Drosophila melanogaster: one gene and its partner. The protein of the gene in region 1 purifies or fractionates together with the protein of each later gene. This does not show direct contact. Each region holds a gene or a part of one and is shown in the gene's direction. Other genes may lie near its edges.

What was found. Proteins that work in one complex are often made in the same cells at the same time.
Region 2: the proteins of OdsH (region 1) and CG5446 purify together in Drosophila melanogaster (affinity purification with mass spectrometry, with the first as the bait; one large-scale study listed by BioGRID). This does not show direct contact.

Annotation. Positions count from the first base shown.
Region 1 is NC_004354.4:17,788,382-17,794,769, forward strand, and holds the start of OdsH (Ods-site homeobox), read left to right. Parts: upstream 1-2,628; 5' UTR 2,629-2,685; coding exon 2,686-3,067; intron 3,068-6,388.
Region 2 is NT_033779.5:12,425,422-12,429,344, reverse strand, and holds CG5446 (uncharacterized protein), read left to right. Parts: upstream 1-1,635; 5' UTR 1,636-1,777; coding exon 1,778-1,876; intron 1,877-1,957; coding exon 1,958-2,119; 3' UTR 2,120-2,714; downstream 2,715-3,923. Other genes in the region: Trm1 (tRNA methyltransferase 1), read right to left, coding at 1-684, 748-1,202, 1,262-1,288; Fam92, read right to left, coding at 3,009-3,284, 3,336-3,806, 3,862-3,923.

The DNA of each region.
Region 1 (6,388 bases):
TTGAGACTTTCGTCTAATTTCCAATGACAATTAATTATGTTAAGTAAAACTACGGAAATTCCAGGAGAAGCAGGCGGAAATAATGGCCCAGCATAACAATCAAATCGCAACAAAGTGTCACAAGAAAATTTACTTTCCAACAACTTCTAACTGAGTGAAGAAGAAGACAAAGATTGGGTTGTCGCGGCGTGGTGGGGGGGGGAGGTCTGAGTGCCCCTATTAGCGGCGAAAAGTTGTTCGGGGAATAGAGCCGGGAAAACTTAATAGAAAATCAAGCGCAAGAAAATGGCGTCCGATAAGGCGATGAGGAAAATGCTGGAGGAGAAGCGAGAGGAAAAGCGGTGGGGAAAAGCGAGAGGAAAGTCAGGCAACCAACGCCCCGCAGCAAATTAAATGAAAATTTGTTTGTGTGTGGAAAAATCAAGTGAAAATTAATTGAATTGAGTTGAGTGCGGCTACGGCGTAATGGTTTTGGTTCGAGGAGCTTGAGTTCGGGAAAGCGGGTGGGTTATTATATAGATCTTCATGTGGCGATAGCCCACCGAAAACGAAAAAAGGAGAAGCTGCAAATGGAATTTCCTTTTGCCCTTTTCTTTTTTACCAATCACAAAGCAATGATGAAGGAGAGTCCAGAAAATGTTCAGGGGGCTTACGGGTGGAAGTTCAGTGGGGGGGTTTTGGGTGGTCACTCCTGCCCACTCTATCTCCCTCTCTCGCTCGCTCTCGCCTTTCATTACCCTGGCTAAAGTCGTGCTCCGTCCCTTTCCTGCAGCCATAATTCATTTTCCAAAGACGGCAGCTGCGCATTGAAACTGCCTCGGAAAAGTGGGTGTATTTATGGGGGGTTCCCGGTTCGCCCCCAACCATTCCCCCACATATTTAAGACATTATTACATTATAATCGCATAAAACAATCAATAAAATGTCAGTTTTTGCTCTGCTCTCGTAGGGAGCAGCGCAGCTCTTGCCCTCTCTTTCTTCTCTGTTTGAGGGAAAAGCACCCCCCTTCTACAACCCACAGCGATTCAGCCATGCACTTCTTTCTTCTCCATTCTTTGCCACTACTTCTCTTCTTCCTGCTCGCTAGCCGTCTTCTTCTTGCCAGGTCTTAAATTGGCCATAATCATATTAATATGAAATTTCCCCCTATTTTTTCTGTGGCCACGCCTGCCGCTGAACTATGTATGTCTCGCCCGCACTCGTGTTCACTCTCGGGCTTCTCTGACTATTGCGCTCTCTTTCGTTCGCGCTCTTTGGTGGGTTACGCTCGCACAGTCACACACACACACGCACACTGATTCACTTTAAATCAATTTTTTTGGCGTTTTTCATTTCATTTTCCCTGTTGCGCATTGCACGCTCTCGCTCGCTCTCTCTTCTCTTTTATCCCGCTCTCTCTCGCTCTTACCCGCCTTGCCTCTCTGTCGCACAATTTAGTCAGGCAGAAAAATACCATTATTGCATTGACCATTTGTGGGCCAGCGCGGGGTTAAGCGTGCGCCGCGGGGGGGTTAAGTGGGTGGTGGTGTGGGTGGTTCCAGTGGGTGGTGGGTTTTTGCGGACGGCGCCTTGGCATGTTTGTTAAGTGAAACCATTTTTCTTTTTATTGCCACGGCTGCGCTGTCGACGTCGACGCCGCCGCTGCTGCTGCTGCTGCTTCAGTCTCGTCTTCTTCTTCTTCTTCTTCTTCCGCTGGGCTCTCTGCCTTTTTTCGCTTTTCGTTTTGTTATTTCTCGCTTTGGCGCACATAAATTTGAACGTTAATGATTTTTGCTTGCAGTTTGCGCGCATGCGACCCTAAAACAACAAGAACAACAACTACAACAACGGCAGCTGACCGTCAAGTGTTGAAAATGAGCTTGTTGTTGTTGCCGCTGCGGCGGCTGCAGTAGTTGTTGTTGTTGTTGTTGCTGCAGCAGCAGGTGTCGCCATCTCACTTTTTAGCACAGACTCAAACCACGAGCAACCAACCAACATTGGTGACACTTTTTTCCCCATTTTTCCCACTGACTGTAGTGGTGCCCCCATCTCACATACACACATATGCGCATTTTTATTAAACAAACACGAAGAAGACGAAACGAACTCCATATTTTTCATTTGTACGCGCCTGTCGCGCCATCCCGCTCGCACCGACTTCGCGATTGTCTCCACAAAACTCCACAACTCGCTGGCCGTAATTTTAATTCGAATCAATTTGTTTGTCGCCGCCGCTGCACTGAGTTCAGCCTTTTGCCCAGTGGGCCGCCGATCCGCTCCACTGTGCACGCTACGCCACATTTCGCTTGCTACGTTCCACTGTGCGGCCAGGATTGTCGCCTTTTTTTTCGGTGTGTGTGTGTTTTAGTGCCTTGTGAATTGAGTCCCAACAAAAAAAAAAAAAAATCGAAGTTAACCAAAAGAGCCTGCTGATTAAAGCGAAGTTAGCGCTAACCCGAAGTAAACACTATCCTGCAGTTAACGTAAGGCTAACCAAGAGCTATGAGGGAATATCAGAAAGAAAGCAAGAAACAATCGAGTCAGTGTTGAATTGAGTTATCGAAATCATTGAGCTAGTGAGGTGACAATATTAAAGGAAAATGAACTAGTTTAATTTGCAGTGTCAGCAAAAGCATTGAATTGTGTGTGTTCATTGCAAACGAGTTAATCGCATAAATTGGGAGCTAATCAAAAGCTAAGACGAAAATGGATCAGCTAATACAACAGCTGCAACAGGCAGCTGCTGCTCGGGGACAAGTCCAACATCCCCATGGTTCATCCGCTTTGCAACTTTACGCGGCAGCAGCGGCTGTCAACATGCAAGTGAGCGGCTGGTCATCCGTTCTCAACTTGTCCATGGATGCCCCAAATCCGGAAATTAGTCCCAATTCCGTAACCAATTCGTCCTCCGTGTATATGATCCGCCAAATGGCGCTGATACAGCAAGCCAGAGTGGCCGCCGCAGCAGTGGCAATGCAGCAGCAGCAGCAACAGCAAAGGGATCTCAATCGGGAGCTTGGCATGGATCCGCACAGTGAGCAGCGTATTAAGTTGGACTCAGTGTCACCCACGCACAACATCCACGCGGGTAAGTTTGATTAATTCATAGGCGATATTACTAGCTTATTCACATTGATTGATTCGATTTCTATGTCAATATTAACTAATATTCAATGGAAAATAATGAATAGAACATAGCTCTGGTTAATAAAAGCATGCACAAAAAACCACTCTATAAACTACGCATTTCGCATTTGGCCAAAATACACGAAATTGCTGGCCAAATTTAATTACGTGAATAATCAACAAGCCGCAACAACAATTACAAGCTGGCAAAAACACACAAAGCTACACACACACGCACACACACACACGCACACACACACACATTGAAAGTCCTGGCCTGCGGGCAAATAATGTTGTTGATTTTGTTGTTGTTGCTGCCGCCTGTTGTTGATTAAAAATTGATCAAAAAACATAAAAACACACGAATTATGCATGCGCGTATTTAAATGCGTGTGTTGCGCGTGTGTGGGTGGCGCTGAATTGATTAAAAGGAGCAATTCGATTGAAATTTTATTGGTAAATTGAATAAAGTGCACGGCGGCATAAAGGCCCCGGCCGGAAAACTTGTTTTCCATTCCAATTCGGCCATTTGGAAAATGCCATTATCTGCGCAAGCTCGACGCAAAGTTAATGAATGTAATGAATGAACAAATGAGTGGGCCACAGGACATCCGGGCATAAAATGTGGGTGGTCATAAATAACGCCATTTCGGAAGTGTCCTTGCCGGGAATTACCGCTAAACGTAGGTGATTAGATGAGATCGGCTAAAATGTAGAGGACATTTTGGAATAATTACTAAAAACTTTAATGGGCTTTTATACATACTATGTTGGTGATGATATTTAATTCATTTCTGATGAGATAATCCTTTTGCCTTTAAATTAGCATATTGTAGACAAGGTAAGTTGAAATAGTGGGAAAATGTTTGACTTACTAAAAAAATGTTGAATGTCATAATAAAATGGGATAATATATTATAGGCCAGTTCAAGCAAATATTTTTCTAAGAAGTTACGCTCTTAATAAGCTGTACTTTTAAAAAAACCAACCAAAACCATTTCCAAAAAAAAAAACATCAACATTTTCTTCAAAAAAACAAAGCACTACGTTTTGTAAGCAAATATTATTTTTATATATTTTAGTTTTATCTTACACTGATTAAATATATTGCTAAGCCTTGAGATCAATGAACAAAGTGGAATCACAATTTGTGAATGGAACGAGGCACCTGGCATCGGGAAATGGGAAATGGTGCATGGGAAATGAGCAGTGACAGGTGAAGTCTTGCTTTCCTTTCGGTGTCTTTTCCTCCTTGTTTTTTTATATATTTTTTTTGCCCAGGTCACGCCCAATCCGGGAAACGCCTGTATTTCCTATTTCGTACCTCGCCCTTTGTCTTTGGTCTTTTGGCAATTGAACCACTTTTGAGGCGCATCCAATTCCGATTCCGAATTGGCCGTCTTGCTGGGCCTCATCCTCCTACTTTTCTCGACGACGACGGGAAATTAGCTGCCATTAGTCATTTTTATTGTTTTCGGTCGCGGCCCCGAAACTACAGAATACAAAAAGAATATATGTATGTAACATGGAGTAAGGCTGAAGGCTGGCAACAACCCGGTTGGCAGCGCTGTTGAGCAGCAACATGATTGTCGGAAATCGAAGCTATCGACAATCAGTCATCGAAGGAACGATCGCAAGGCAGCAGTGGAGTCGAGTGGAAGTCAGCGTTGCAGTCAGTCGAGTTCTCAGCAGCAGTCGTTCGGTCACAAACTAAGAATACTTTACATAATTACCGCATTTAGAATTAAACTAATAATTAAATTAATAATAAACAATAATAATAAACAATCTTACATGGGGGCTCGTCCAGTCCTAAATCGGTTATATGAAGGTGCAGTTGTTTAAAGAAAAAAGACATTGTTGTGTGCGTGGGTATAGTCTTTAAAAGTTGTAAAGTTGTGGCTATATCTATTGCATTTAAAGTTGGAAAAATCAGTTGTACAGATTTTGTTTGAACACAAGTCGGTAAAAGTCGGGAAAGCTGCTAGAGAGAACTGATAAAGTTGAAATTGTCGTGTGCGTGGATTTAGTCTTTAAAGTTGTAAAGTTATGGCTACGTCTACTGCATTGAAAGTTGAAAAAATCGATTGAACTCATACAGACTCAAGTCGTTTTGCTGTTGTGGAATTTAAAACAATTAAATTGCAAAGGTGGTGAAATTCGTTTCTAACGAAAATCAAAATTTGTCTTTTAACCGGTGGCGCCGTCTGCAAAATCGACTACCGTCGCGCCGTTAGAACATTGTCGTTGTTTGCTGGTGTTAGTGCCTTGTCGCGGAATGTTCACACGCACACCACCTACAAATAAAAAACTTAACACCGACCAAATACAAGCAATTCTAGAGAACGAAAGCGAGGACGAAAGCAGAAAAGAAAAAATGAACGAAGAAGATCAAAAGTTGACGCCTGTAGGAGAAGCAGAGGCAAAGAAGCAGAATAAAGACGCTAGTGCTAAAGTCGAAGAGAAATTTGAACAAATGATGAATACTCTAACCCAGAGCATGTTGGCAAAATCTAAACAAGAGGGGCAAGTAATTATCGCTGCAGAAAAATTTGAAAAAGTTGTAAGTGACTGTGATGGCAAATCAATTCCTATTAAAAAATGGTTTGAAATTTTTGAGAAAAATGCCGAGGCATATGAACTTTCGGAGAAACAAAAATATGTTCAAGCCAGAAGTAAGATGATTGGATCAGCAGAACTTTTCTTAGAATCTGAATGTGTCAGTGGATACACTGAACTCAAAGAGTTACTAATTGAAGAATTTTCAGGCAGCTATAATAGCGCCGTTATTCACAAAAAGTTGCAAGACAGGAAGAAGAAGAGGGAGGAAACTCTACACGACTATTTGTTACAAATGAAGAAAATAGCAGCCTTAGGTGAAGTTGAAACAGTTGCTTTGATAACTCATATCGTAAACGGCCTCGACATTAAAAAGGAGTATAAGGGTGCTATGCTCCGTTGTAAAACTCTTAAGGAATTAAAGCAAGAATTCGAAATCTACGAGAGTCTGAATATTGTTGACAAGCCGAATATTCAACCAAAACCAAAGCAAATTACACAAGGTGTAAAAGCAGATCACTGCTTCAACTGTGGTTCGAGGGAACACAAACGAAAGGATTGTACACTTCCTACCAAATGTTTCAGCTGTAATCAAGAGGGCCATATCTCAAGCAAGTGTCCGGAAAAAGTAAACAGCATGCGCATTCACGTTGATAGGGCACGAACAAAGCCAGTAATCATAAATGGGATTATCATCAACTGTCTGGTGGACACAGGATCAGAT
Region 2 (3,923 bases), on another chromosome or scaffold:
TCTTGGACCATGGAAAGAACTCCAACGATTCGTCTCTGGGTTCCCAGCGATTGCAAGGTGGTCTCCTGGACCGCCGTTAAAAGATCCTGCACAAATTCGGGGTTATGAATCGGTGCCGACCAGATGGGTCCACCCAGATGATGCCTGTGACCGCAATGTTCGCACTGCGAGTTGACCGCCGGACCAGTGGGAATTCCGAACTTCAGCTGCTGGGGATTACCAGCCGTGGGATTTGGCTTGGTTATGCCCAAGGGCTGCAGCGTGAAGGTCTCACATCCGGTGCATTGGTATATCCAAGACTGCTTGCTCATCGACAGCTTGCATTGGGCCTGGCCGACGTACACACGCACAAATATCCGGATGTAAAAGTCCGCTGATATGCTCAGTAGTGGTTCGATGTACTTGCCGTACCTGTTCGCGTGGCTCTCGATGCAGTGCAGCAAAATGCGCAATGCCATCTCGTGACAGCACTTCATCCGCAGCGGAACCGATCCGTATTTTACATAGCAAGCTTCCGGAGCATTTCCGGCCAGCACGGCCATGTCGGTGGCTGTCACCAGCAGCAGGCCGCCGTCCACCAGGCACTGCATAGCGCCATCCAAAAAGCGATTGGGACATCCGTACGGATCCAAGTCAACTGCATCAAAACGCTTCTCGGGTTGCGTCGAAAGATACATGAGGGTCCTGTACGATGTATTGGAATGCCCCATTTTATACCGTGTGCCAATAGCTTAATTATAAACCTACATTGCATCGGAGTGACTGGGCTCGATCAGCTCCTCCACCTTGTTGTGCCGGATGTTTGTGTTGATCGAGGCCACTGCCTGGCGGGAAAGATCGTTGGCCACGATCTGGCGTACACCGGCGATTTCCTGCGCGTAACGGATGCTACGCAAACCGGTGGCTGCCAGTGCCTCCAGGATCCGAAGTCCATCCTCATATCGAGTACCGGCCTCATAAACAGGTGGATCCTCGGGAACGGGAGTGGTCTTCTCATCCTCCTGTTCCTTGACCTTCTTCCGCTGCTTTTTGAGCGCCTTTTCGCTCCGCTCCTTGGTCAATCTCTGTCGATAAACATTCAGAGCAGCAATGCTCAGATCTCGATTGAATTCCTGGACAGGATTGTAGAACACATTGCCGCCGGAAACGATCTCCGCATTACGTTCGCGTATCACGTTTTCGTTGGGATTTTCAGCAATAATCTGCAATCGTAATGCTTAGCTTAATGTGGTTTATTTATAATGTGTTTTTCTTTAAGAACCTGCGGCTTTTCCTCGTCCACTTCCATTTGGATGAGTTAAAAGAATACACGTGGGGCAGTGTTGAAAAACGTAAGCTACTAGCTATTAAGCTTTAAAACTAAAAATATACACAAATTTGTTGTTTTTTATATGAAATACGAAATAAACATTACAGAATTATATTTAAGTTTAATTTAGTTTCAAAATTTACAATTTGGGTATATTCTCTGTAATAATACATCCCATAAAATGATGTTGAATAAAAATGGTTCTTAATATTTATTTGAATTATTTAAAGATTAAAATAAATTAAAATAATAAATTGACATTAAATATGACTGGAAAATAAAACTTGAAGCTAGCTACTTTGCCACCACCAGGATTATCGAAAGGACTATCGAACCAAAGTCCGCCCCTATGCTTGATAAAGAAATTAATTTGCAGAAGTGAAACAGCCGCAGCCGCAAACAGAAGCAAAAGAGCTAGAAGTGATAGCATTTTTGTACTTTTATACAGTGCCACAAAGAAGCCACAGAATGACCGATCTGCGCAACGAGATGGACAGCGATCTGGACCAGAACTACTCCCTGAACAGCAATGCGGACCCCAAAAACATGCAGGAGCTGACCATATACGTGAGTAATGCCCGAACCGGGAACCACCCAGTAAATAGAGACACCAAATGAGCACCCAGTAAACCTGCCTCCTGTTATCAGGTACAAAATCTGTTGCAGAACGTTCAGGACAAGTTCCAGACGATGTCGGACCAGATAATAACGCGCATCGATGACATGGGCAACCGCATCGACGATCTGGAGAAGAGCATTGCGGATCTGATGAACCAGGCCGGGATCGAGGGTCAGGGACCGGAGAAATGAGATCCGTAGCGCTGGCACGGCCACGCCCATTCGGAAAGTGCATCCCAATACCATTAGATACATACATCGAACACCTGGCACCCAGTCACCCGTATCAAGTTTACAATTCCAGGTTCTCACATTCATTTAATCTCCTCCGCACCCAGCTGCTCCCCAAGAAATGAAGAAAAGAACACATTTGCTCATCCATTTATTGCTTAGTTTTAAGTTTCGCCCGGTCGGGGCACATCATAATTTAAGTAAAGTAATTCTTTTGTGAGCAATGGCCAATAATTTTGAATTATTGCCGTTTAGTTTCTATTTATAAATTAAAAATTCAAGAATTGTAAATTCCCTGCTATTTGGGTGTTCAGGACTTCGATTTAACAACGGTTACCAGGCGACCAGTTCCCGATTTGTGTTTCCTCACCTGAAAGTTTATTGCGAAAAGGGGAAGAGAAGCGCGTCATTTCCGCTTGATTAGTTATGATATGCATATATTTAGTATTGTTTATCTGGGACAAATAATGCAAATCGTGACCCGTGTCCATTAATAAAAAGTGTATGGAAATCAGCGCTGAATGGCAAGGAGTGCTATATAACAATCCCTACTTTTAAAAGGAAAATCAACATTGATTTGTGGACCAGAATGATTTTCGAATATTAATTGCAATTTGTGTTGCTTCTACATATCATGTTTTTTAAGGCAATGAGATAGAGAGTGGTAATACATTCTGATTAAATTATGAAAGGAAGCTCTGAGACTGCGGGGTTACAAAAACCAATTAAGATAAACCCTTAGAAGTATGTTCCTAATTCAATTTTATTTAAGCTCTTGCTACGATTCCAGAATGTGCCTGCAATACTGATGTGAGCTCTAGGAACTCTACTACTGGTCATAATTTGAGTGCTAGTGCTGGGGCACGTGGAACTGCTTCTGCAGCCTTACATGGGTGGAGGCCACCGCCTTGAATGGATGTTTGACCGTTTGTCTGCTGGGCTTCGAAGGAGCAGAAGTGGCACTGGCACTGGTCGATGGCGTGGCTATATCCTTGCTGGCAGATCGGATCTTGGCCCCAAAAACATTCTCCCGCGGAGGAACCTGGTTGCCCGGCTGCGTGGGTTCCCTCTCGTCATCCGTTGCCGTTCCAGATTCCTCGTCCTCTTCGCCACTTTGCTCGGTTTCCTTGGGAGGAATGGAGTTATTCTATCATTCCATAATCATGCCAAATCATACCTCATCTTCATCATCTTCCTCTTCATCCTGCTCGTCGGTTTCATCTTCGGGTTCTGTTTTACTTCCATGATTGATTCCGGCTCCCGTCAGATTCCTATTGCTCCTGGACAACTTCGGGCGCCTCTTGAGCGGACTGACCAGGTGCTCGTGCTCCAAGCTATCCATCGACTGGGAGCGCAGTCCCTTTTTGAGTGCAGTTTTCCTGGAAGCCAGCTCTTCTTTGGTCTTCATGAGTTTCTGAAACTCAATGAAATCGTCGCGCTCATCAATGGTTCCAATATCATAGTAGCTTGCGCTGAGTATCTCCAATGCCTTGGTGTGCTGTTTCATGGCGATCAGTATAAAATCGCTGATTATCTGCTTTAAGTCGCGCAACTTCCGCTGCTCGAAGTTGCCAATAATGTCGTCTATCTCCTTGTTTGTGCGCTGCACCTCCATTTTGGCCTTAAACAGCTCCGAATCGGCGGCACTCTACGGTAAGTTTTGGGAATTATATAAGAAGTAAATTGTTCGTTTTAATACCCACATTGTTCGCAGAAAACTTTGACTTGAGCTCAAGCATCTGGCGCTGACGTAGTACCTCCTTAT